3 linked regions of the Drosophila melanogaster genome follow. The protein of the gene in region 1 purifies or fractionates together with the protein of each later gene. This does not show direct contact. Each region holds a gene or a part of one and is shown in the gene's direction. Other genes may lie near its edges.

Region 1 (7,751 bases):
CGATCACTTATTCATTTGTTCCTTTTGGGTTTTATCACACCAAATGGCGAATGTGTACTCAAAGGGTTTCCAAATCGGGTTAAACGAATTCAGCACAGTTGACTGTTCGTATGTAAGCCGTAGGAAGGGAACACATTAAAATTAATTTCGTTAGCTGCGTTGTGATGACGTCGACAACTTTTGTCGCGCTACGCAGTTTGACCACTTGAATTCTAATTAGAAACGCAGCCAAAACAAGTGAAGAACATACCACATTAAGACAAGAGATCGGTGGGGAATTATGCCACACTCCCGATTATACAGGCCACATAAAAGTTATGCTTGCGTCTAATTGAGTCCGATTCGGATGCGGAATGGGAATATGAATATAAATACACGACCAGCGCGACCGTCAACCAAATCAAACTGCAAGCACAACACGCAAGTCACCAATGAATCGGCTACCTCAAAAAGAGAGCGAAGCGGTACTCTCTCTTTTCCGATCAACTCTCATTTGCCGTCGCCACATGGCAAAATAGGAATAGACACCGTGGTGGAAGGGAGGTGGGTAATGCAATTGGTCCGGCGGCAGCTGCAACGTTAGCAAAATCGCGTCTGTCCAATTAACACATTGCCACTTAATTAAGACCAACTGTTGTCCGAGACTTTGGCGCGCTGAATGGGAATTTAAAATTCAAAATAACAATCACATCTGGCAATGCCGTTTGGAACCAGGCTTGTCCAGCAGGTGTGTGAGCGGTGCCGCCAGATACGGACGATCTTCGCAACACACCAGTTGTCCCACTTACACTTGCAGCTTTTGCAACTAGCGGGCGATGTAAACAAAGGTGTTGGAGAGTAACAGCAACAGTTGTGCGGCCTGCGTCGACGTCGGCAGAGCGATTAGTCAACTGGAAATGGAAACACGGTTGCCGAGAGCAACAACAACGGCAGTGGAAGAAGAAGCAGCAGCAGAAGCGCTTGGAAAATGTTGAGCGGGGAAAAAGAATAAAAGTTTTTAATTTGCCTAAATTGGCTGCCCGTGAAAAGTGTTTAATTGGCAGTCCTAGCCCCCAAAGAAGCAACAGAAAGCCCAGGCGGATATCAGTCATCCGGCGTGCAGGAGCTTAGCTGCTCATTCGAGATTTGCAAGCCATGGAATGCGGTTCACACAGCGGACACCGCCCAATTCCGATTTGGCTTTCGAGCTGCCTCGTGGCCATGTGCTTGGGCCTTCCGCTAGGAGCAGCTGTCCCCCAGGAAGCACCTGCCTACTACTACGTTGGTTGCTACACGGCACGAACGGATCTTCTCCATGAATCGGTGTACGCCAAGACACCGCAGACCTGCATCGAGATCTGCGAGCATCAGGGTCACCACTATGCCGTGCTGGCCTCCGAGAAGTGCTTCTGTGCAAATGTCCTGGAGCCGCAGGAGCAACAGGATGAACAGCTCTGCAACACTCGCTGCCTGGCCAACAAAGCGCAGTATTGTGGCGGAGTTGGTGTGCACTCGTACTACTCCACCATACTGACCAAACAACCGGGTCCGCATCATCTAAGAATCTCGAACAAAACGGAGAACAGCCTGACCCTTAGCTGGAATGCGTACGAGGCGAGGAAACTACTCCTGGCCGGCGGCGCGGAGGCAGTGCTTCCCAACCAGCTACTGGACAACTTCCTGATCAAAGCTCAGGTCCTGAAGACCTACTCCTCGTTGCCCGCCTTCCCGCAGCCTGAGTTTATGGTGCAGAGCACGGAAACGCAGTTTGAACTCACAGACTTGCATCCCGCCACGCTGTACAACATATCCGTGAGAGCCATGTGCAAGGATGCCCAAGTAGGTCAATCTGAATGCGGACAGGCCTCGATAGAAGCCACCACGGAGGTTGGTAATGCTTGAATTCTAACGAGAATCCTAACCAATAACATTACTACTCCAAATTTCAGGTGGGCCTTCCAAGTCCCGTGCCAGCACAGCCGAAAATCCTCAGCCGGACTGACCGCACTGTAACCATCGAGTTGTCGCCCATTCGGAATGACAATGGACCGCTGAGCAAACTGCTCGTCATCGTGGAATACGTGGACAACGCCCTGAGTCAGCCATTCGATGCCCAGCTCCTGGGCAGCTGGCAGCAGGCTCAACAAGATGGAGTGCCCTACTACATAGCCGCCGAATTGGACTACGATCGACCGGAGGACAATCGCACCCGGCGCTTTGTGGTCGGCGATGGCAAGCGTTACGGACGATTTACCAATAAGCCGTTGGATCAACCAGATGCACATGTCCACATCAGTCTCGGATTGGTGAGTAATGCATTAAATTCGAATGAATATCTCTGTAACTATTTATATTCTAGGTGAGCACACTGGAGGGCGTTACCAAGACGATGTACAGTCGTGGAACTCACGACCAGCATGTGACATCCCTAGACGACTTTAGTTACGCCACCTTTGAGAAGGGTCAATCCTCGGTGGTTGCCCTAGCTGTCACCTGTGTGATCTTCGGCTCCTGCCTCCTGCTCAGTCTTATTGCCTACTTCTATCTGCGCTACAAGACCTGCCGCGGGCGACGATTGACTGGTGGCAATACGCACGAGATGACGCTGCAAACGCCCATAATCGAGCGGGAAAATAACGGATACCTTGTGGAGGACGATCCACTGCCACACTCGCCGGAAAACTTCAAGCAGCAGTTGCAACAGTTGGTGGAAGGATACGAACGGATACCAAGGAATGCACTACGACTAAATGTGAACGATGTGATCGGAGACGGACGCTTTGGTGAGATTATAACCGGAAAGGTTTCCACAAACGATTTTGCCAGAGATTGCACCCTGCACGTGCTCTGTCTGGACGATCTGAATGGTACTACACAGGCACAGTTGCTGAGAGAACTACGTCAGTTGTCTCAATTGAAGCGCCAGGAGCATTTGCTAGATTTCTATGGAGTATCAGCAAGTCCCGATTGGTTCTACCTAATCTTCGAGCAGCAACGCATGAGTCTAAAGAGAAAACTGGTGGAGAGTCGCCTGATGGCACCGTCGCCACGCTTGACTTCCCTCTCTGAGCAGCTAGTGCTGCAGTGGATCTACGAGCTTGCCAGTGCCATGAATTATCTATCCAGCTGCCAGGTGGTGCATCGACAGCTCTGCTCGCACAGCGTCTTCGTTACCAGCGATTTCAAGCTAAAACTGAGCGTCTTTGGACCGCTGCCCTACATGAACATTGCTCGCCAGCAGCCAGACCACAACCGGTGGCTGGCCCCGGAGGTGCTGCGCCATCAGCATCACCATTCCACCCGTTCTGATGTCTGGTCCCTGGCCTGCGTGGCGTGGGAATGCTGTGCCCTTGGCGGTACTCCCTATGCCAATGCAGTGGCAAGTAACCAACAGCTTCTAGAGGCCATTCGGGCTGCAGTGCGTCCGGCGCAGCCAGCCTACGTCTACGGGGATCTCTACCAGCTGCTGCTCAACTGCTGGCAGCTGGAGCCGAGCGAGCGGAGCAGCTGTGAGGACGTGGCCTTCGGAGTACGTCAGCTGATGACCTCACCGCGTCATGCCCTCAGCTTTGATCGAGTGGCCGGCGGACTAGACACCCTGCCTCCGTACCTGCCGCAACTGGAAGCCGTTGCTACGATGGGCTGAGGTGCAGCCGAATAGTATAATTAGCTTTAGTCAGCGAGAGACCACATTCGCATAGAGTAGATTTCGGTTCTGAGTCACTGCTGCTAAGAGAAAACATCACTTCATTTCGATTTTAGATGAGTTCACTTTCAGTGTTCTGAAGAGAAAATAATTTGTTTTAGAATTTACACATTGATTTAATAAAGCTCATAAATTGTTATTATCCATATAATATTAGAAGTGAGCATTTATGAAACACAATTCGATGTTTATTGTTAATACGCACAAACTTCCTACAAATAAAAGAGTGTTCTATGCCAGAGCTTATCAGATCTATAAGGTAGTTAATTGCTTATCTACAACCCGAAAGAAAGGAATCGACTTTCCCCCACGCGAAACAAAGTTCAAGCGAACGTGCTCGATGGAGAGCGCGATAGATAAAAGACTACTGACAGTCTGGCCCCCAAAATTGTGTAATAAATTGAGGGATCCATAGCGAATGGATCTACCAACAGACCAGCGACTGTGATTCCCCCGCCGATCGCTGATGTTGCACAAACCAGACAAAAGCGAAAACTAAAAGCAAAAAAAAAACCAAGGGAGAGAGCCGCGAATGCGAAACTTTGATCGCTGGCGAGCAGCAATTAATAATAGAAAATAAACGGCGGTGTTGCTTAAGTGTGAGTGGATCAAAATTGACGATTAATCAGTTTAAAGGTCTTGCATTGCATCTATTGTTTGTTATGTTGTTTAAGAATTAATTAGGGAAATTGTTGGCAGCAGCCTAGATGCGGTTACATGCATTATTAGTCATCCGAAATAGTAGGGCACTTTATGTATGTATATTCCATTGGTTTGGACAATCATCTTATAATGAAGCTACATAGCAAAAAAAAAAAAAAAATCTAAATCTGTGTATATTCTTCCGATATGCACTTTTCAAATGAAATGTTCAAAATTCGTTATCAGTACTTAAAATTTCTCACTATGTACAAGCTTATCTCGGGATCCTTCCCAAAGAAGATAAGCCATTGTTTCTCTTGTCGACGTGTAACTATTGGATCCACCAAAAAACCCAAAGCACATGGCTCACCCGGAATTTAGAGCGACTTTCTTATAGAGTATATGGTAAATACGGTAAATGAAGCGCAACGATATCCATAGCGACTTTTGGACGCTTACCTTGCCCGCAATTCAAGGTGAAATGACGACGAACAATTGAAGTCACTGAAATGTGTATACATTCCGAGCAAATGGGCAATTATTATTAATAAATCGAGCTGAATGGCTGCTATCGGAATTCAGGGGCTTCGACTGCCGACCATGCTCATGAATATGTGGAAGATGATGATGATGATGAGGTTCATCCGGTATTGGCCAACTTTGCGAGTGTTTTGCATTCGCCTGGTTAAATTGTTATTGTTTTTGTTACATATACACACATGGAGATTATGAGGAATCCAAGGAAACTGGTTGCTCACACACGCACACCAACGCACTGCGACGGAGCCACTCACGCACACTACCAAATGGTCGGCTAACTGCGCAAATAATGCGGCTTCTGTGTCGGCCTTTGTTACTCACTTTACTTAACCATTTACATCGGACACTGGACTTCACTGCGCTGCGATTTTTCGACACTTTGGAAGCAGAAAAGTACGTATTTTGTTTGTGCTCTGCCAATGGTGTGACCGTACACCGTTGGGCGAAAAATCACCTATAAGTGTGGGGGTGAAAATTCATTAGCCAACACTGAAATGCTTATCGATAACATTTAGCTATTTTTAGTATTAGCTAACTGGTATATATTAACGGTCATCATAAGGTCACACTGCAAACGGTTAAACGAACGGCCACATTGTGTTGGACCGATGATGTGGATTTAAAAGTTAAATATTTCAAACTTAGTTATAGCAAATAGCTATGGACATCACCCAGAGCTTCAAGGCCAGCGTAATGACGGTGCGCCTGCAGCGCAAGGCCGAGCTGGCCGGAAAGGCCAAGCCCGCCACAGTGCCGACAAAAACTGGACCAATTGGCCCAAAGGATGACTTCGCCAAGCAGGCCAAGGAGGTGTGCAACAAGATCACTTCGCTGCGCAATGTGCTGATCGAGAACCGCACCGCCTACATGCGCATTGGCCAGCACCTCAAGTCCGCCGCACACATGACCGACGCGCAGCGGGATCTGATTGATCGCGAGTCGGAGAAGTTCGTCACCTTTTACACGCAGCACCTGGCCAAGATGCGCAGCGATTGGAAGAGCGCCAAGCGGAAGCCGCAGGAGCGTCAGCACATCGACGCCGTGCTGGACCTGCTGGTCAGCTATTTGCACAGCGTGGAACAGATCTATCTGGACCAAAAGAAGTACCGTGTGCAACACGAACTGGAAACCTATAGGCTGCTCAAGCTGGCGGCGGACAAAAAGAAGATACCAGTGCGTCCGGCGGGCAGCAACAGTGGCAAGCTGGGCAGGCGCCAGGTCAGCAACGATGACAGCGAAGCCACGAAGTCATCTTCACAAGCAAATGGCAACCACGACGAGTCCGCCGACAATGACTGGAATAACGACGCCTGGGGCGACTGGGATGAAGACGAGGAAGGCGACGAGGTGGACGATCACGATGGCGAGAAGGGCAAGGAAGCCAATCAGGCCAATCAACACAAACCGCGTACGCGCAAACGAAGCAAAGCCAACAGATCGGATCTGAACAACTCATCCTCCAAGATGGCTCTGGATGAGGAGCTCCAGCAGCAGCAGGAGGCCGACGATGACGATCCCCTAAGCGCCGAGGATGTGCAGCTCTTCGAGGCGGAGAACGTACACATCTACAACTTTCTGCAGGGCGTCTCCGAGGAGGTGGAGCAGATCGAAAAGAACGTGGTAGACATTGCCCAACTGCAGGACATTTTCACCGAAAAGGTAAGATGGCATGATAACACAAGTCCCAAGGAATCCTTGCTGTTCTTAACAACGATATCTTTAGTTTAATTTTGGTGAGAACATATTGCTCCATATTGCCAAGAATACTTAGTGGGTTTAAGTGGCTGCCCATATGTTTGTCGACTTAATCCTTCAATTAAAAATATTAATTGGCTTCGCTAAAATCCACATCCTTCGCGATTACAATGGATGTATAAGCCGGGCTCTTATTAGCATGCAATTAATTATTAACTAGATCCAGATAGATCCACGTCCTAATCTCATTTAATCCTCTTAAATTTCCCTTTCCCTTTTGTAGGTCGCCATGCAACAGCACAATATCGACAGGATAGTTAGTGCCGTCGTGGGCACCACGGAAAACGTCAAGGACGCCAACGAGCAAATCCGGCAGGCCACTCAACGAAATGCAGGACTACGCGTGTGGTCGCTGTTCTTCCTGCTGGTCATGTCGTTCTCCCTGCTCTTCTTGGACTGGTACTACGATTAAGTGAAGTCCCCAAATTTATGTGTAACCCACCCAATTTAGGGAATGATAAATGCAAAAATGTTTTGTTATCGTTTGATCGCACTAAAAGCATATTTTGTTTATTACATAATTTATAAATAAAAGGAAAATATTTGTTTAGGCTATTCAACTGCCTTGTTTCAATTCAATGAAACCTCGTACAACAATATGGAACTAAAATCGATTTGAGCGCCTTGCTCACACATGTCTCAGTAGTTAATTTAAATTCTACACCAAAATGTGTTTTAGTGTGTTGCTTGGTACATTGTTTATATCTAGGTCCTTAGTCATATTATTTTCATTAAACGCTCTTCAAAAAAATATATATATATATCTAACTGGGAACGGAAATCAGCAATAAGTATGTATATGTATATATATGTCTAAGGCCTAAAGTTAACCTTTGCGTATTTCTTTCAGTTGGTTTCATTACATGAATGTCTAGATTCTAACTAGCTTAGGTCTAATATTTTGTAGCCTTAAGATTTGTGTCTGAGGGAGTGTATCCTTGGCTTAGTCGCTAGGTGTTCTTTTGTTTTTAGTGCAATATGGGATTGCATTCAATGCAGTCTGCTGGTTCTTTTGTTTTCTTTTCATATTGTTTAGAATAAGAGTTAAGAGTTACTTAATGATTGGCTCTCCAATGGGATAAATGGAAGCTATTCCCCACGGAGTGTGGTAATAGTGTAGGAAGGCGCC
Region 2 (7,850 bases), 6.2 Mb from region 1:
TTTAAATTTCAACTGTTTTAAGTGCTGTAAAGTGCATAAAGTGTTAACAGGTGGCTCCACGCACAACGCGTTAGTACCTTACCAAATAGCGTTTTCACTGCACCGCTCACCACGGCCACACTCTGCCTTTGTTTTGTTTTGATATTCCCACTGCATCGCATTTAATTTATTAAAAGCTGTTACCAAATTATGTCCTACGCCGGCTATAGCCAGCTGCCCAGCGGCAGCGACCAGGAGCGCAGGCAGGCGCAGCTCGCGGCCAGCACCTACGACGTGCTACAGCGGACGACGGACAGTATCCAGCGATCCAACCAGATTGCCATCGAAACGGAGAACATGGGGGCGGAGGTAATTACCCAGATAGTAGCCATTAACAGGGCTAACTAATGCTCGCTTACGCATCAACAGGTACTCGGCGAACTGGGCGAGCAGAGGGAGTCGCTGCTACGCACCACGCGCCGCCTGGAGGACGCCGATCAGGATCTGTCCAAATCGAGGGTCATCATTCGGAAGTTGAGCAGGGAGGTGCTCTACAACAAGATCATCCTAATCCTGATTATCATTCTGGAGGTGGGCATACTCGTCGGCTTGCTGGTGCTGAAGTTCGCTCACCTGTGAGCCAATGCCATTCTATTCCAAAGTCGTAACCACCAAACAGGCGATGGACTATATATACCTATTAATCGTTACGAATTCTTTGTCCTAGTTAATAAGCTTATAAATGTATATACTCCACTAAAATGCACTTCCAATTCAAAAAGGTCAGTTTTAGGATATACCCAGCGATGAATCGGGTGGTTGATTATGTTTATTCATGTTGGCTAAAGCGTTAATGCCTTAGACGTCTATAATATGTATTATGGTAGTAAAACACAGATAAAATCGGGTCTGGACATCGGAAGCTCTGCACTCCGAAGAGTTTAGCCCAGTCCCAACGCATATACATACGTATGCTATAACAATGATAATATGTAGTTCGTGCAGCACGCTATGCCACGACTATTTGGCAAAAAGCAACGTTAATTACATTCAGTGGGCGACAACGAGATAGTAGAACATCCTGAACAATGTCTGCATAATACTTGATCTATGATAAACGGTTACATATATGTAAGTATGTGGGCATCGCTTTGGGGATGCTTCTTTGTTCGAGAGATGTTTGGGATTTCGCAGAGCTGCGCCTCCTCATTCCTTTGGTGCAGCAGCTCTCCGCTTCAGTTGCCTTCAATTGTCCTTCGGAAGAACGATGGACCAGCCGAAAACGCGGCGATCGAAGCCGCAGGAGAAGAGATCGCAGTCCAGCAGCGGCTCCTCCGCCCACGCTACAGACGACACCATCCGTCGGTGGCCCTGCCGACTGGTCCGTGGCAATCGGGCGACTCTCTGCCCGTTCAAATCGAACAGTCGGATCTGTCGATTGTCATGCGGTATGGCGATAATTCCACCAGTGGAGACCGCCAAACGATTGACCGAGGAATCCGTTCGAATGGTGGCCAAGGCGGATCGCATGTTGCGCAGCTCCCAGACCTTGATTGTACGATCATCTGATCCGGACACCACCTTGTCGTCGCGTGCGAACACACTGGACGTAACCGTTTCCGTGTGCCCTTGGAAGACGGAGACCGCTGGGATTGCCTCTCGGAAGTCCCATAGACGGAACGTAGTGTCCCTGGAAGCGGTGACCACCAGGCGCTGGGTGGGATGTGCCGACACGTGGGTGAGCTCGTGGTCGTGCCCAGTGAGCGGCTGCAGTGGCAGGCCAGTCTCCACGTCCCACAGGATGGCAGTCCGATCCCAGCTGCCCGTGATGATTTGATCCATCGAAGAGAGCCAATCGGCGGCCACCACGACTGAAAGATGACCGCCGGGGCCTGTGAACTCGCAGAGCGGAGTGCGTAAGGTGTCCACACGATCGCGATCTTCCACCTGCTCATCACTGTCGTCCAGTTCCTCCTCTGAAGAATGGCCCTTCCTGAAAATCATGCAACGATTATTGAACTACTATAAAATATATTGCAAAGTTACTCACTTGGGCACTTCCCAGTTGACGGCCGCCTGCCAGATGTGGGCAGTACCATCCCCGCTGCCGGTGAGCACAAGATCTCGCTGCTGATGGAACTTGATGGAGTTTACGGAGCCGGCGTGCCCTTGGTACTGCAAAAGGCACCTGGCGCTCTCCACGCCCCAGATGCAGGCCGTATGATCGGCGGAGGCGGTGCCAATGATGGGTTGTCCCGCCTTGGCGGCAACCTGCCAGATGCCATCCTTGTGGCCGCCGAATTCTCGGACCACCGTGCTGACCACTGTGGGCGCCTTAAAGCTGGACACAATGCGGCTGGTTTGGGCCTTGATCTTGTTGCTGGCCTTGGCTTTGCTGCCGCCGGTAGCGCTGCTTAGTTTGGCCTTCAAGCTCTTGTGTGTACTGGATGCTGCAGCCAGGAAGCTGCCCGCCACCTCATCCGTCTGGGTTGCAGGCGTGGCCAAAGCTGCGGATGAGGCCTGAGTGCTCATTGAACCTCCTGCTGCGGATCTGGCATCGGGTGGAATCAATGACTCCTTGGTGGTGGTGGCTATGTCTAGCTTCTCCTGCACTATAACAGAGAATAGGCTTTAATCATGCGTGCACTATACAAAATTTGACATATGTAAGCAATAAATATTAAAGTTTATGAACGAGACCTTAAGGAGTTGTGGATTATATAGCTACTTACGGGCCTGGTTCTCCAGATACAGCTGCTCGAACTCCCGCTCGATCTGGGCGAAGAGGACGTGCAGGCGTGCACGGAATGGTGCATCTTCCGGTACGGCGGCCACGTCCTCCGTCAAACTGGTGAGGCGCACAGCCCGTGTCTTGCTAGCCTTCATGCTTTTCTTTTCGCCTCTTTGTTGTGTATCTCGCAAGTGATTTTCTGAGCCGAGCTGGTCGGCGATATCCGTTTCCTGGTGGGCAGAGCGCCCGGGGGAATCCAATTAGTGTTCAGGGGTTGCAGACTCGCGCTCTATTGATCCATCTTCCGCTGCTGGCGATGCATTTGCCTCTTTGGCTGACTGGGGAACTGCTGTTGCACTTGGTTTTCGCAATGATAATATACTTATTGCAGGTGTTTTTGTGCGCGGGGGGAGCGGGCGGAACAGCTGGTGTGTGTATCGAGTGTTATCGATGTGCGATTATCGCACAGTCGGACTGTGGCACACTGAGAGCAAATTGAACAAATTAAAATAAAATAATTTTGAAATTGCAGTTTACATATTAAATATATTTATATCATAAAAACGAAAAATCCTGTAAAAATTAACTGAAAATTCATTATATGTTATGAATTAGTTTAGAAAAATTTTCAACAAAAACACATCTATAAAAATGTACAATTAACAAAGTTTTTTTTTTAGTGCACTTTGGTTTGAGTACTAGTGTTGAGAAACAATTAGTTAATTTTGCTGACTTTCAAATCTGACACGTGAAGGTAAATAAATTCAAATAGAAATGTAACTATGGATCAGCGCTTTCCTGTAATTATTTATTAGGGTTGATTATCTTGTATAACCCTTTGAAACGGAAGCATTATCCTTAATCAACACTGTGTACTTGAACAGCTGTTTGGCCCGTAGTTGTAGGTACTATTTTTGAAAACACCATTGGGAGTTCCCACAAGACAAACAAATCCGTGCACCGTTGTATTGGATTCCAATCGAACAGCTGACATACCTTCGGGCCCGTTAGTTTTCCCGATCGCCCTGCATATGATACCATATCTCCCATTACAGCGCTGCAGCCCAATCAAACCGGTTTGTCGCCTTTCGACTTTTCGGTGGTCTCAGTTCACATCCATTTCCCCAACCAGTCCAATTGCTTTTATCTTGCTCCTCGAGTGTTAACGAAATTGCTTAAATCCACCCACATTCATCCTTTCATTCAGTTCGGCCTGGGAGTAGCAGCATGAAAAACGTTTTGGATGTCATGTCGATGCAGCAGCACGTGGAGTTGAACAAGGCGCAGACCATGAAGCCCATCGACTATCGGTAAGTTGAATGATCCAATCTAAAGATACCACCAATATATACATATCTGTGCCATCTGTGCCGCAGCAAAATGAACAAACCCGGCGTGGTGCCGATGTACATCTTTGAGTGCGCTGCCAAGTTGAAAATGAAACCGCTGACGGCGGCCTGTGCGGCCATAGTGTTCCATCGCTTCTTCCGCGAGGTCAAGGCCAGCGACTACGATGAGTTCGTGAGTAATATATGCCCCCAAAACGACCCCATCTCATGAGAAACTTTCTGGAATCCACAGCTCATTGCCGCGGGCTCGCTGTACTTGGCTGGCAAAATTAAGGAAGACGAAAGTGTCAAGATACGCGATGTCATCAACGTGGCATACTGCACCCTTAACCGGGGCAATGATCCAGTCGACCTGAACGATGAGTACTGGTCGATGCGGGATGCCATTGTCCAGGCTGAGCTGCTCATCACGCGCACCCTGTGCTTCGATCTCAACATAGATCTGGCCCACAAGTACTTACTCCACTACATGAAGACCCTACAAGACTGGGTGGGCACTGAGGTGTGGAACTCGGTGCCCATTGCCAAGGCAGCCGCCTCGTATCTGCAAGACTTTCACCACAGCGCCAATATCCTCAAGTACAAGCCCACCCATGTGGCCATTGGGTGCCTGTCGCTGGCCCTCCAGACCTACGGCATCCAGGTGCCGCTAACCGACGAGTCCGACGAATCCGCCATGTGGTACAAGCCCTTGGTCAAGGACTTCACCCGAGAGAACCAGTGGGAGATCATCGAGAACGTGATCGAGGTCTACAAGAACGAGGGCTTCCTGAATGCCACCTAATCGCTGAGAGAGACTGCCAAAACCATTCCTTCTGCCATCTGAACTTATTTATTTTCCCCTCGCCACCTCATAAACCAATCTCAGATACTACTAGACGTACATATGCTCAAATGTCCAATGCATTTACATCATGCCCTTGCCAAAACAAATAAATTGACCGGTAATGAAATGCTTATGTGATCGACGGGCGAAAGTACATTTACCTATCAGCGAAGACGATAGATCTAAAGTTTACAACTTATTTATACACTGATTCAATAAACAATTGTTCTGTGAAAAATGATATTGTTAATGGGTCTTTGGAGTTGTGAAATGCTTTAAGATTCTGAGGAAAAGCAAAAAGGTGTTTGGCGCTTTTATTTCAATCAAATTCATTATACTTTTAAGCTGTTAAAAGTTTTACAAAAAAATATTACACTTTATCAAACAAATTTAAATAAATCGCTCTGTATTTGATTAAATTCCGGGATGGGTGGCAACCCTTAGCCCCAGCCCAGCAGTGTTGACTAACGCAGGCATGTACAAAAACAATGCTAGTTCGTAAACAAAACATATTTTTTATACATTACTTGGCCAGAGCGAAAAAACAAGGACAATATGCGTAAGACGTGGGTGAAGCGAGAGAATATATACTTCAAGCCCTTCTACAAGCAGAAGTCGAAGATGTTCCTGCTGCTGATCTTCCTGGTCGGAATTTCGTTCATCGCGTATCAGGTGAGAGTCTCGCAAGGATTTTCCTGTGCACGGTGTTTAATGTGTAAACAATAACGATAGGCCTTCTCGCTGAACCAGCTGCCCGGAGTGCCTGCTCCGTGGAATCTGCAGCAGATCAAGCGCAAGCACCAGCAGATGATGCAGTCCCTGGGCAGCAAACAGCGCGACGTGGACGATTTCGATGGCGGAGGCGCCGATGCAGTTGCTCCGGCAGGCGGGGAAACCTCACCTGTTGCGGGTCACGAGGATCCCATCAAGATTGTCAGGTGTGTAGTAGATGCATTGTTGCTGGCTTGGGAAAATTCCTCATCCTCGTCTTTATCCTTTAGGGGCACACGGCTCTTCGACTACGACGCCTACAAGCCCAACTTCGAGGGCAAGTTCCGGTGTCTGGACGGCTCCAAAGAGATCCCGTTCGACCACCTGAACGACAACTACTGCGACTGTGAGGAGGACGGCAGCGACGAGCCCAGCACGAATGCCTGCGCCAAGGGGCGATTCTACTGTCGCTACCAGAAGCGTCACATCACGGGCCGGGGCCTGGATATCTACGTGGCCAGCAGCCGCATTAATGACCACGTGTGCGACTGCTGCGACGGCAGCGATGAGTGGAGCACGGCGACCAAGTGTCCCAACGACTGTGCGTAGTCGCAGGCCGACGGGACCCCGTTCCCACTCCCATTCCTCTTCCATCTCCTCCACCTGTGCACCTAGGACACCAATCTCAAGGATGAAGATGTCGGGCGGCGCATCACAAGCGATATTTTTTGTACGAGTACAATAGAATTGTAATTTATTTTAAAATAAGTAGATTGAATAAAAGAAACGAATTCCAAGAAACACAATGTGGCCTGTTCCAGTTTTCACATTCAAAGAATCTGATGGATTTAATGTGTACAATTTGTTTAAAACTATGTTTAATTTGGTGCCAGAGGAGCAGCTGCAAGATTAGATCTTTGTGGACATGTGAAAAAAAGAAGCTGCCATTTTATCCATATATGCTTATTCATTTTATTACCAGACTCACAAAAATCAGTAGAATTTACATTGGGAATTCCTTTTTTGTTTTGTTTTCTTTTTTTTGCTCGACTTTCTCTGCGCGATTTTTGGTTTCGAATTCGCAGCGTTTTCATTTATAATGTTCAATTTACATCTACGACCGTCTGTAATTTTAGTTAATATGGTTCTTCTTGCCTAAAAATGTTTTGTGCAGTTTAATCCGTAAAATGTACATCGACAAACTCTAAAGCAATTTTGAACTGCAAATTCTACAAGGTACGAAATTTTGTGTGTAATTAATTTTTCCCTTATATGCACAGTACGTCTCACTGGATTTTCTCTTGGTTTGCTTTCTTGGCTGGCTTTCTTGTCTTGTTTTGGATGATAAGCGGAAGCGGTAATGATCTCCACATCGATATACATAATTAGTTTAAGGAACGCGCGCCATCGCATTTACAATTACTTCTCGGATCTGAATTGGCAAAATTCACTTTATTCACTTGCATTTGCATTGAGTACTTCTTCTTTGACTTGCCCAGCACAATCAGAGAAAACTACGTCGTCTATGCCTGGACGAGCTGATTGCTATATTGCTATCGACGCTCTCGTCTCACAAATTTGATACTTTGCCCCCAGTTTGCGATGGAAACTGGGGATCAACCTAAGTAAAGTACATTTGTTGTTGTGGCTTGCTTTTTGCCAGTTGCAACTTAAAGTTAGCTTACGTACGCTAAGTAATACTTAATCAGAGGGCTTTGTGGGTGTGTGTGATTTAGATTTTAGGCTGGTTAGATTAATGCGTCTGTGCGGATGATGTATAAATTCATTGGGGTACTTAAAACATAAATTGCTTGAGACACGCTACGATTACAGTGCTTGCTCTACGATGTTTACTTTATATCATGTGCGCAAATCACAAATCTTTTCATCAATTACAAATAAATAGCATGGAGTGTTTGTATAAAATAAGAGAGGTCTGTAAAATCAGCATATATATAAATACGCATATATATAAATATATAGATATATATATATTCGGATTATGTATATTATTGCACTGATGAGATTTTGCTTTCAGTTTGGGACGAATTACAAAAATGCGATGATCAAAGATACAAAATACGAACAAAAAGGGGAATAAATAAATACATGTACAAAAAATGAAGGGACGAAGGGACTGGACATACATATAATATATATAGGACGTGGTAGGTGTGACTCCACTTAAGCTAAGTGCTGATGCTGCTGGTGGTTCTAAGAAACTTTCTCTCGTACAAGTACACATAGATATAGT
Region 3 (7,989 bases), on another chromosome or scaffold:
CACAAGATTCTTGGCCGCCTTCTGATCAGCTAAATTCATCTCTGCACGCACCTTGCGGAGAGCAAGGCAGTCAATGATGCTATGACTCTGCCAAGTGACCTCCAGGTCGGCGGGGATTGGTGTTCCCTCTGACGCCAAGCAGCCCTGACTCGTCATTACTTGTTTCTGGCAAATGTCCATGAACTTGTCTCGCCGGCTAAGCAACGCGTGAGGCGCCAGGTCCACATCCCCCAGTTTCCGGTGATTAAAGTGGGTGATTAGTTTTCCGGTATGCGAATTTACCCCCACGACGGTTGCGACATCGAAGTGCTCTGGACAGCGTATGCGCATCTCGCTGAGCGAGCAGGCCAAATCCAGATTTGACCGGCACCACACTACCATATCCTCCTCGTCGTCCTGTTGCGGCTCGACATAGGGAATTAACCGCTGCAAGTTCGGACGCGGCGTTCCCACGTCGCAGAGGGCATTAAAAGATGCAGAGCATTTCATTTCTAAATATAAAATTTATATTTTTTTGTACAAAAACTTCAGGCCAACTTATAAAACTGTGTGAGGGGAAACTGCATACATATTCGATTGAACTGAATATTCCAATCTTAGGATTCGAAAAATACTATAAATTGTTATGGCTAAATACTCGGGCTGATCGCTATCTTTATATGTACTCTTCAGACTGCTCTTTGTTTTAAAAGCTGAGCGATTTCAGAGGACATACAAATAGATGTACATATATGGCTTCACATGGCCATTGGAGCAGAAAAAGTGCCTACTTCAATTCGAAAGCAGTTAGTATGTCGCTAATCTATGACTGATTGCATATTCTATTTGGACACAAAAAAAAAAAAAAAAATTATTATTCAATAAAAAATAAAATACATAAGCAACAGTGGAAACAGCCTAGCAAGACAGCCTCCTTCAAAAGCTCGATCCTGGTTGGTTCGCCGGAAGGTACTCCGTTTTGGTCAGTCAAGTGATGCACAGGCTCACACCCGCCAGTCGCCGATGATTTGGGAAGAGGGCACCAGCTCGAATCGAGCGTTGGCCAGACTCGGTGGCACACCAAATCTAGAGCAAAAATGGAGGGAAATGAGCCGGCTGCCCAGATGACCACCTCTAGCGCTTTCGTTTCTGCTTACCTGGGACGGAAGAAGGGAGTTGGGTGGCCAGGGAACTTGGGAATGGAAGGCGGAGCAGTCGCCTTGGGCTGGACTTCCGGTTTAATCTGCTGCCTGACAGGGGCAGTGCCCGCATCCACGCTGTCCAGGGTGTTCCTCACCACAAATTGCTGCCTGGGCTGTGAATTGGATTGCGGTCTCGTTCGAGCTCCTGGCATGGGCAAAAAGCGAAAGAGCCGGGTAGAGACGCCGTCATCATCTGTCACGTCATCGGTGGACAAATCATCTCCTCCAGCCCCTCCGACTCCGTTGGCAGACGGAACAGCACTATCAGCTTGTCCACCGGCAAGCGGAGTAAACACGGCAGCCAGACGCACAGGCACAAAGGCTGGGAGCCGCACTGTAATGGGAGTGCCGGAGGGCGGAACAGCCGGTGACGGGATTGCAACGGAGACTGGTATGGGTGTGGGTCGTGGCGGAGGAGGTGGTGGTGGTGGCAGTGGAGGCGGAGGAGGTCTACGTGTGCTGGCATCCGCTGGCGACGCAGTCGTTGTTGTGGCCGATTCCTCCTCGACCTCCTTCCAGGCCTCCAGCAGGGTCAGCAGCTCATCCTTGCTCATGTGGCCGAGACCAACGGGGCTGTAGGGCCACTCGCCCACTCCGAGTCCACTACCAACACTATTCCAGCCTAAAGAGGGCACTTGTTCCACTTGCTCTACGTGACCCAGCGGAGTCTCGAACAGGCTCCTTTGGGGACGTGTGAGGAGCAGCTGCTGACCAGCCAGCCCATTGCACAGGATCTGCATGAGGAGACCCAGGAGCGTCGCACGAACTGACCCGGCCATGACTGACTTTGTATTGTGGAGCCTCTAGGTGGAGCAGTGGCTTATATATACATACCTGCTTTCAACGGAACGAGGAAGGAGGCCAAGCCGAGCAAAACGGAAGCGCACGCATTCCGCTGCGGGTGATCCGATCACACGATGAGAAAATAGGTTGACCGCAGTCCTCGATGGGCTCAGAGTTAATTGAAATGCATTCGATTTAAGATCACAGTACAAGCATTTTAAATAATGTCATAAGCTTTCCCGCTTTGATCACAAACTTGTGTATATCTTAGCATTCTTCGGTATGAGCAGAAATGGGAATGGTTATTCGCATTCGCTTGCAGGGCTTCAATTCATAATATACATAGATGAATAAGTCGCATTCGATATGAATTATTTTCCCAGTGCAAAGATTTTTCCGGTGGTCGCTTGAAACGCACATTCGCACGCAGCTCCATCGCCAAGTACCACAGGTAGTCCATATAGTTGGGTCCCTGCCTCAAGTCCAAGTCCGGTTTCGCGGGCGAACCACTTTTCCTTCTGGGGATGGATGTGGATGTCCATGCAGAGGATGGTCTTCGCGGGCGAACCGGTTGGGCTTGGTCATCGACTTTTGGGGGGTCCAACCCACTTCCGGCATCTGCGCCAGCGGATTTGAGTCTGCGAAAGCGGCGCGACGTGCCAGGGATTTCGATTTATGTTGGTTAATAATTTAAATAAATATTTATTTATATTTAAATATTTGAAATAATATATTCGCAACTCGATTGCCAATATAAAAAATAAAAATACCAAAGACCAATTGGTCGGATTGGGACTCAAAACAGCTATAGAACAATGCATCTGGGCGCCAGGTTCATGGGTGAATCGAAGTATTGTACTTCTATTGAACTTCTGGGGATCCTTAATCCGCATCCTGTGTACAACACACGCATACAAAAAGCAAACTCCACATTACAGCAGAGCGCAAGCTGTCAAAGCTGTAGACCTGGGAAAATAGCTTTGCGGGAAAGCCCGGAAACTCGAAAGCGCCATTTTCAGGGGCATGCTGGCTTGAAAACGAGTTGAAAGCGTATTTCCATATCGTGCATTTAAAGAAACGAAGAAACGAATGGTATAATGGACTTCCGTTAATGTGACCGTTGGCGGTCGGTACTCTGAGATACTCTGCGGTATTCGGTATGCCTCGCACCATTCGGTATATTTACACGGACATACCGGTGACGTGGTTACATTGCAACAAACATCCACAGAAACCTCCAATCCACTCCAATCCCAGACACCCGCCCGCCGCGACGTTGCAACACAGTTTTCATGGTAGCAGCGAACGTTCCCGATTCGAGGCAGAGTCCATTTGGAAGTCCCGGGCATCGCAGGAGCACTGCGGCAAGCACCGACCGATCGGCTGAGTTGTGAAATCCAAGAAGTGGAAGAGGACGACCGGACACAAACTTCACACACTGGTGACTGGACTGCAGCGGATCCACATCGGAATAAGTAGCAGCCAGTGGAAGGAGGCGACGGCAGAGTGCAGCCGTGGCCAAGAAGACTTGAGACGCAGCCCCGTAGTTCCGCGAGCAATCGTAACCAGGAACAGCAGAAGCCATGGCGCTGCTGACCATGATAGCCAGGGTCATCGATGGCCTTCCTCTGGTGGGGACCATGCAGGATGACGAGCAGGTACCCGTGTGCATCACTTTCTAATACGTTGCATTCCGTTCCGCTCCCGCAACTAAGTCGCTTTCACTTTCAGAGCGGACGCAGCATACTGGACTACCAAAACCAGGCTAAGATGCTCTTCCGCAAGCTGGGTACCCACTCCCCGGCTCGATGCAGTATCGAGACCGGACCCTACCTATTCCAGTGAGTAGCCCCAATTCGTGGCACCTTTGCCAGGGCATAGACCATTAAAATCACACCATGTACAAAGGTTTCTCGGCTCCGCGGGTAGTCAGTGACAGTTGATTTAGTTTCGGAACAAAGAGTATAGATGTAATTTGATACGAAGTTAAATTAAACGCTCACTGCTTGCGAAAGCCAGAAGATGCAATGGGCGCCCCAATTAAAATATTCCACATTTTCCCTGCAGCTACCTAATCGAGAACGACGTCTGCTACCTGGTGATGGTGGACAAGATGTACTCAAAGCGACTGGCCTTCAATTACCTGGAGGACCTGGCCCAGGAGTTCCATGCTAACTACGGCCGGCGAGTAAACTCAGTGACTCGCCCATACGCATTCATCGAGTTTGACGTGTACATACAGAAGGCGAAAAAACAGTTGACGGACCGCAGACGCAACATCAGCAACATCAACACACAGCTGCAGGATGTGCAGCGCATCATGGTGCAAAACATTGACGACGTGCTCCAACGTGGCACAGTGCTGGCGGGTAACTACTACTACTACTATCTACGCGACTATCTACGCGTGATTGTGGGATTCAACTGACGTTCACCCCGTTTTTCCTTCCAGAACTCGACACCAAGACCCAGAACCTATCGATGATGTCACAGAAGTACAAGAAGGACGCCAAGCTGCTCAACCGAAAGTCCATGTACGTGAAGGCGATGGCCTTGGGCATGATACTTCTAGTGTTCATCATGTATTTCTGGGTTCTGTAATATCAAGCAGTTCCATGGCCACTCGGAGCGGCGCGTTCTTTGTTGGAGTCAAGCGTCAAGGACGCAAGACCAAAAGACATTTAGATTACGCGTGCACCTGTACTCCACGCCACCAACCACACCATATTCATTCATATCTATGAATCATAGGCAAGCGAAAAGTGAATAGCGAAACCCCCTACCAGCATACGCATCGCTCCCGAGGATTGTTTTACTTCTAATATTAACTTACCTTTGCGTTATTTACGGTCTGGGATTCCATTAATTATTAACTCCCATTTCATTTCGCCTCGCGCTTCCGTTGCGCAGGTTTTCTAAATATTTGATTACGAATCGGGTTTAGTTTAGACGACCTTTGAGCCAAGTCGGTTGACTACGACCCAAATCTGTAAATTATGAGCGTCGATCCGTGTGTGTGTGTATAAATGTCTAGATTGTAGATGGATCGCTGCATAGCGAATCCGAATCCGGCGGAGTGCTTGATACAAGCTGCAAAAACACCGCAAAAAACAAAAGAAAAAGAAAAGATAACAAGCGAACCGAAAGAAAAGAAAAGAAGAGAAAGGGAAATAAACAATAACAGTTTTAGGCAATTTATATGTGTAAAATTAAGGCAAATAAATAAATTTATATTGTTTAATAAAGAGAAGGCAAAACTGTGTTCGATGCACTACCCAAGCCCGAAAGATAGAAACTGCATCTGATTTTTGGTTTAGTTTTAATCGATAATTTCCCTTTATATATTTTTCGATTCACTGAGTGTGATGTGATACATTCGCCTTTATAGTTTATATCCACTTGCAAGCCTTCGAATTACGATTCTTCTCAATGAATTTCTCGATCTGATCCGATCCCGATCCCATTCGGTCTCATATCGTCCCGCTAAATGTCCGTTTTCGTTGCGTCTCAGCGCATATAAATTTGTAATATCAAATCTTTACAATTAGGAAAAAAATGCGCTGTTGCCATATACACTGCTATATCGTAATTTGGTGTGTATAGTTTTGTGAAATATCGAATCCGAATACATATATACGCTCTCTACATAACTACATATGAATGCATATGCTTTGTGGGGGGGGATGTGTGAAATGGTCTGCAATAATTAATTAACTGGGGAGAAGAGCAATCATCTACCGAATTTTGCAACCTCCTCTGGCTTCCGTGTACTAGGCTGTGGTTCTGCTGAAGCTCTGGTGGTGAGTGGGATCGAAAATAAATTACGCGGTCTATAAAATCGAAGTTTTAGTTTATGCGAAAACCATACGAGTCGGGCGTGGCGGGGCGGGTCGGGGCGTAACTGGAACTATTTAGATATACAATAGATGGGTATGCTTGGTTGATAGCCCGCACTAGGCTCAAAATTCTTTAAAAAATATTTGCTTTTCTCAATTGGATTCTGCTAATGCTACTATAGTTCGCTTGTTTTGTTTTTTTTGGCTTCGTTTTGTATAACTATATTTTTCTCGTTCTTGGCTCCGACATCTATACAAATTCAGAAGGCAGTTTTGCGCGTGGAGGGACAATTACAAATTGAGATTCATTAAAAAGCATCGAAGAGCAATAACACTCAAACATATCATTTTTATAGGTGTGTTTTGCATTGCCTTTACTTGTATGTTGGTTTGAACTATGAAAAATCAAAAATAAATAAATAAGTCAGGAACAATCTGAACTTTGAGATTCTTGTTCTGTTTTCGTTTCTACGCATACCCTCATGCACTTTCGGGTACGCTGGGCTTATGACTATCAAAAAAAAATAATATATAGTATATATTTATATATATATGCCTGCTGCTGCGGTTTACAAAGTAGGTTTAGAGTACGGGTACCGTCGTTAGCTTAGAAAATAACTTTAGTGAGTGGTGCGCAAGGAGAAGAAGGTCCATCCCAGGCCTATTAGGCTAAGTCGTATTTTTACCGCTATCGCTATCCATCCGTCTATCTTTATATCTTTCTATCATTCTATCTTTAGTTTCATATTTGTAGCCACTAGGCCGGTGCATATGTATCTGTTAGTTGTATATGTCTGTTTAGCTGTGATTTTCCACCTTTATGTACAATGTGTGATCCTTTAGCTCTACTTTAATCCTTCTTCGCTACTCTCTAATTTCCTCTTTTTGATTATCTTTTCCGTAATCCTCAACGTGCAGGGAACCATCGTTCTTCTTGAGATCCTCCAATCCCACTCTTCTCTATTTAATCCTCTGGTGATCCGGTGTGCTCTTCAGGATATCAGGCTGGTGGTGCTGCTGGATATGGTGGTGCTGATGATGACCCGAGCTCAGAGTGCCCGGTTGACTTCCCCCGCCGGCGTGATGGGAGCTGCTCAGCGTGTGCGAATGGTTGGAGTTAAGCGTGTGTGTCGCATGCGAATTGAGCGTATTGTGGGCCGTTGTGGTGGCATTTGTAGAGAACCCGGTGGCCACCGCTGAGCCACCACCCAAGTTTGGCCGCTGGGAGGTTCTTAGCGAGCGATGCGACCCATTCCTCGTCAGGGAGTTCATCTGCGGAGTCCCGGGCACCGTGTGTCCCAGCGCATTCATGTAGTCTGCTATCAGCAGTGTGATTTCCAATATTTTCGGCTTGCTCATTGCGAAGAGAAGCTTTTGCTCACCGCCTCCGCCGTCATCGTGGGAAACCACTAGCATAAAGTCGTCCTGGCAGCCGCCAAAGGTCATAACGGAGCTATACGGATACCTGGCCACCGGAGCCATTGTGGACAGCTCGAGGACATTGAGAGCATCTTCTGCGACAGCCAACCAAGCTACCGGGGTAGCTCCCGAGGCGGTGTTGGATTCTGGACTCTGTCTGGGCTTCGCCTGAAACAAGCAAGCTCCGAAATATGGCCACTTCCGGCAGCACGTGAGATAAATGCGCACACAATCCAAGGTCGAGCGGCCCTTAAGGAGCATCCACTTGGAGACCAGCAGCTCTTGCACATCTTTCAGCTGCTCGGCACCTAGGGCGTCCCTATAGCGGTACGGGTAAAACTTGTCCAGACCCTTAAGGCCCACACCCACATCCCTCGACTTCTCGAGCGAATAATCGCCCATGTCGATCTGAGACATTAGCGAGGCCAGCTCCAAAGCTAGCTCTCTGGATAGAGGGAATCTGCCCTGGACAATCTGGGAATTGGTCTGATAGCAGAGGAGCAAACGCTCCTTATCTGTCTCGCACTTGATGGTATGCTTCCAGTACAGACGGTTCTTGTAGCTAAGTTGAATCACCCGAGAGTTCTCGAACTTGCCTGATCCCTTTTCCCGCAGCGCCGTCTCCCACTTGCTGATCACGTCGCACAGCTTGGCCAGCGGTTCCAGGTAGTGCTCCAAATCCTTCTCGATAGGATCGTCGCTGAACAGACAAAACCCGTTGGTCGCATCCCTTGTGCCCAGTTCGTGAGCCAAAGTGGCCTGGAACTCCT

The links. The genes of interacting proteins can lie anywhere in the genome.
Region 2: the proteins of Syx18 (region 1) and koko purify together in Drosophila melanogaster (affinity purification with mass spectrometry, with the first as the bait; one large-scale study listed by BioGRID). This does not show direct contact.
Region 3: the proteins of Syx18 (region 1) and Sec22 purify together in Drosophila melanogaster (affinity purification with mass spectrometry, with the first as the bait; one large-scale study listed by BioGRID). This does not show direct contact.

What each region holds. Positions count from the first base shown.
Region 1 is NT_033777.3:24,623,250-24,631,000, reverse strand, and holds Syx18 (syntaxin 18), read left to right. Parts: upstream 1-5,438; 5' UTR 5,439-5,527; coding exon 5,528-6,526; intron 6,527-6,845; coding exon 6,846-7,034; 3' UTR 7,035-7,199; downstream 7,200-7,751. Other genes in the region: wsck, read left to right, coding at 1,135-1,866, 1,929-2,285, 2,339-3,625.
Region 2 is NT_033777.3:18,399,603-18,407,452, forward strand, and holds koko (kokopelli), read left to right. Parts: upstream 1-3,423; 5' UTR 3,424-3,464; intron 3,465-3,620; exon of another isoform or gene 3,621-3,917; 5' UTR 3,918-3,937; coding exon 3,938-4,020; intron 4,021-4,086; coding exon 4,087-4,231; intron 4,232-4,291; coding exon 4,292-4,843; 3' UTR 4,844-5,124; downstream 5,125-7,850. Other genes in the region: Vti1b (vesicle transport through interaction with t-SNAREs 1b), read left to right, coding at 190-348, 409-618; Wdr37 (WD repeat domain 37), read right to left, coding at 1,225-1,972, 2,030-2,591, 2,712-2,865; CG7685 (uncharacterized protein), read left to right, coding at 5,441-5,557, 5,618-5,823, 5,887-6,205.
Region 3 is NC_004354.4:802,938-810,926, forward strand, and holds Sec22 (secretory 22), read left to right. Parts: upstream 1-3,138; 5' UTR 3,139-3,547; coding exon 3,548-3,628; intron 3,629-3,695; coding exon 3,696-3,805; intron 3,806-4,031; coding exon 4,032-4,333; intron 4,334-4,416; coding exon 4,417-4,565; 3' UTR 4,566-5,263; downstream 5,264-7,989. Other genes in the region: CG13359 (uncharacterized protein), read right to left, coding at 1-489; CG13358 (uncharacterized protein), read right to left, coding at 984-1,065, 1,137-1,960; CG43867 (uncharacterized protein), read right to left, coding at 6,761-7,989.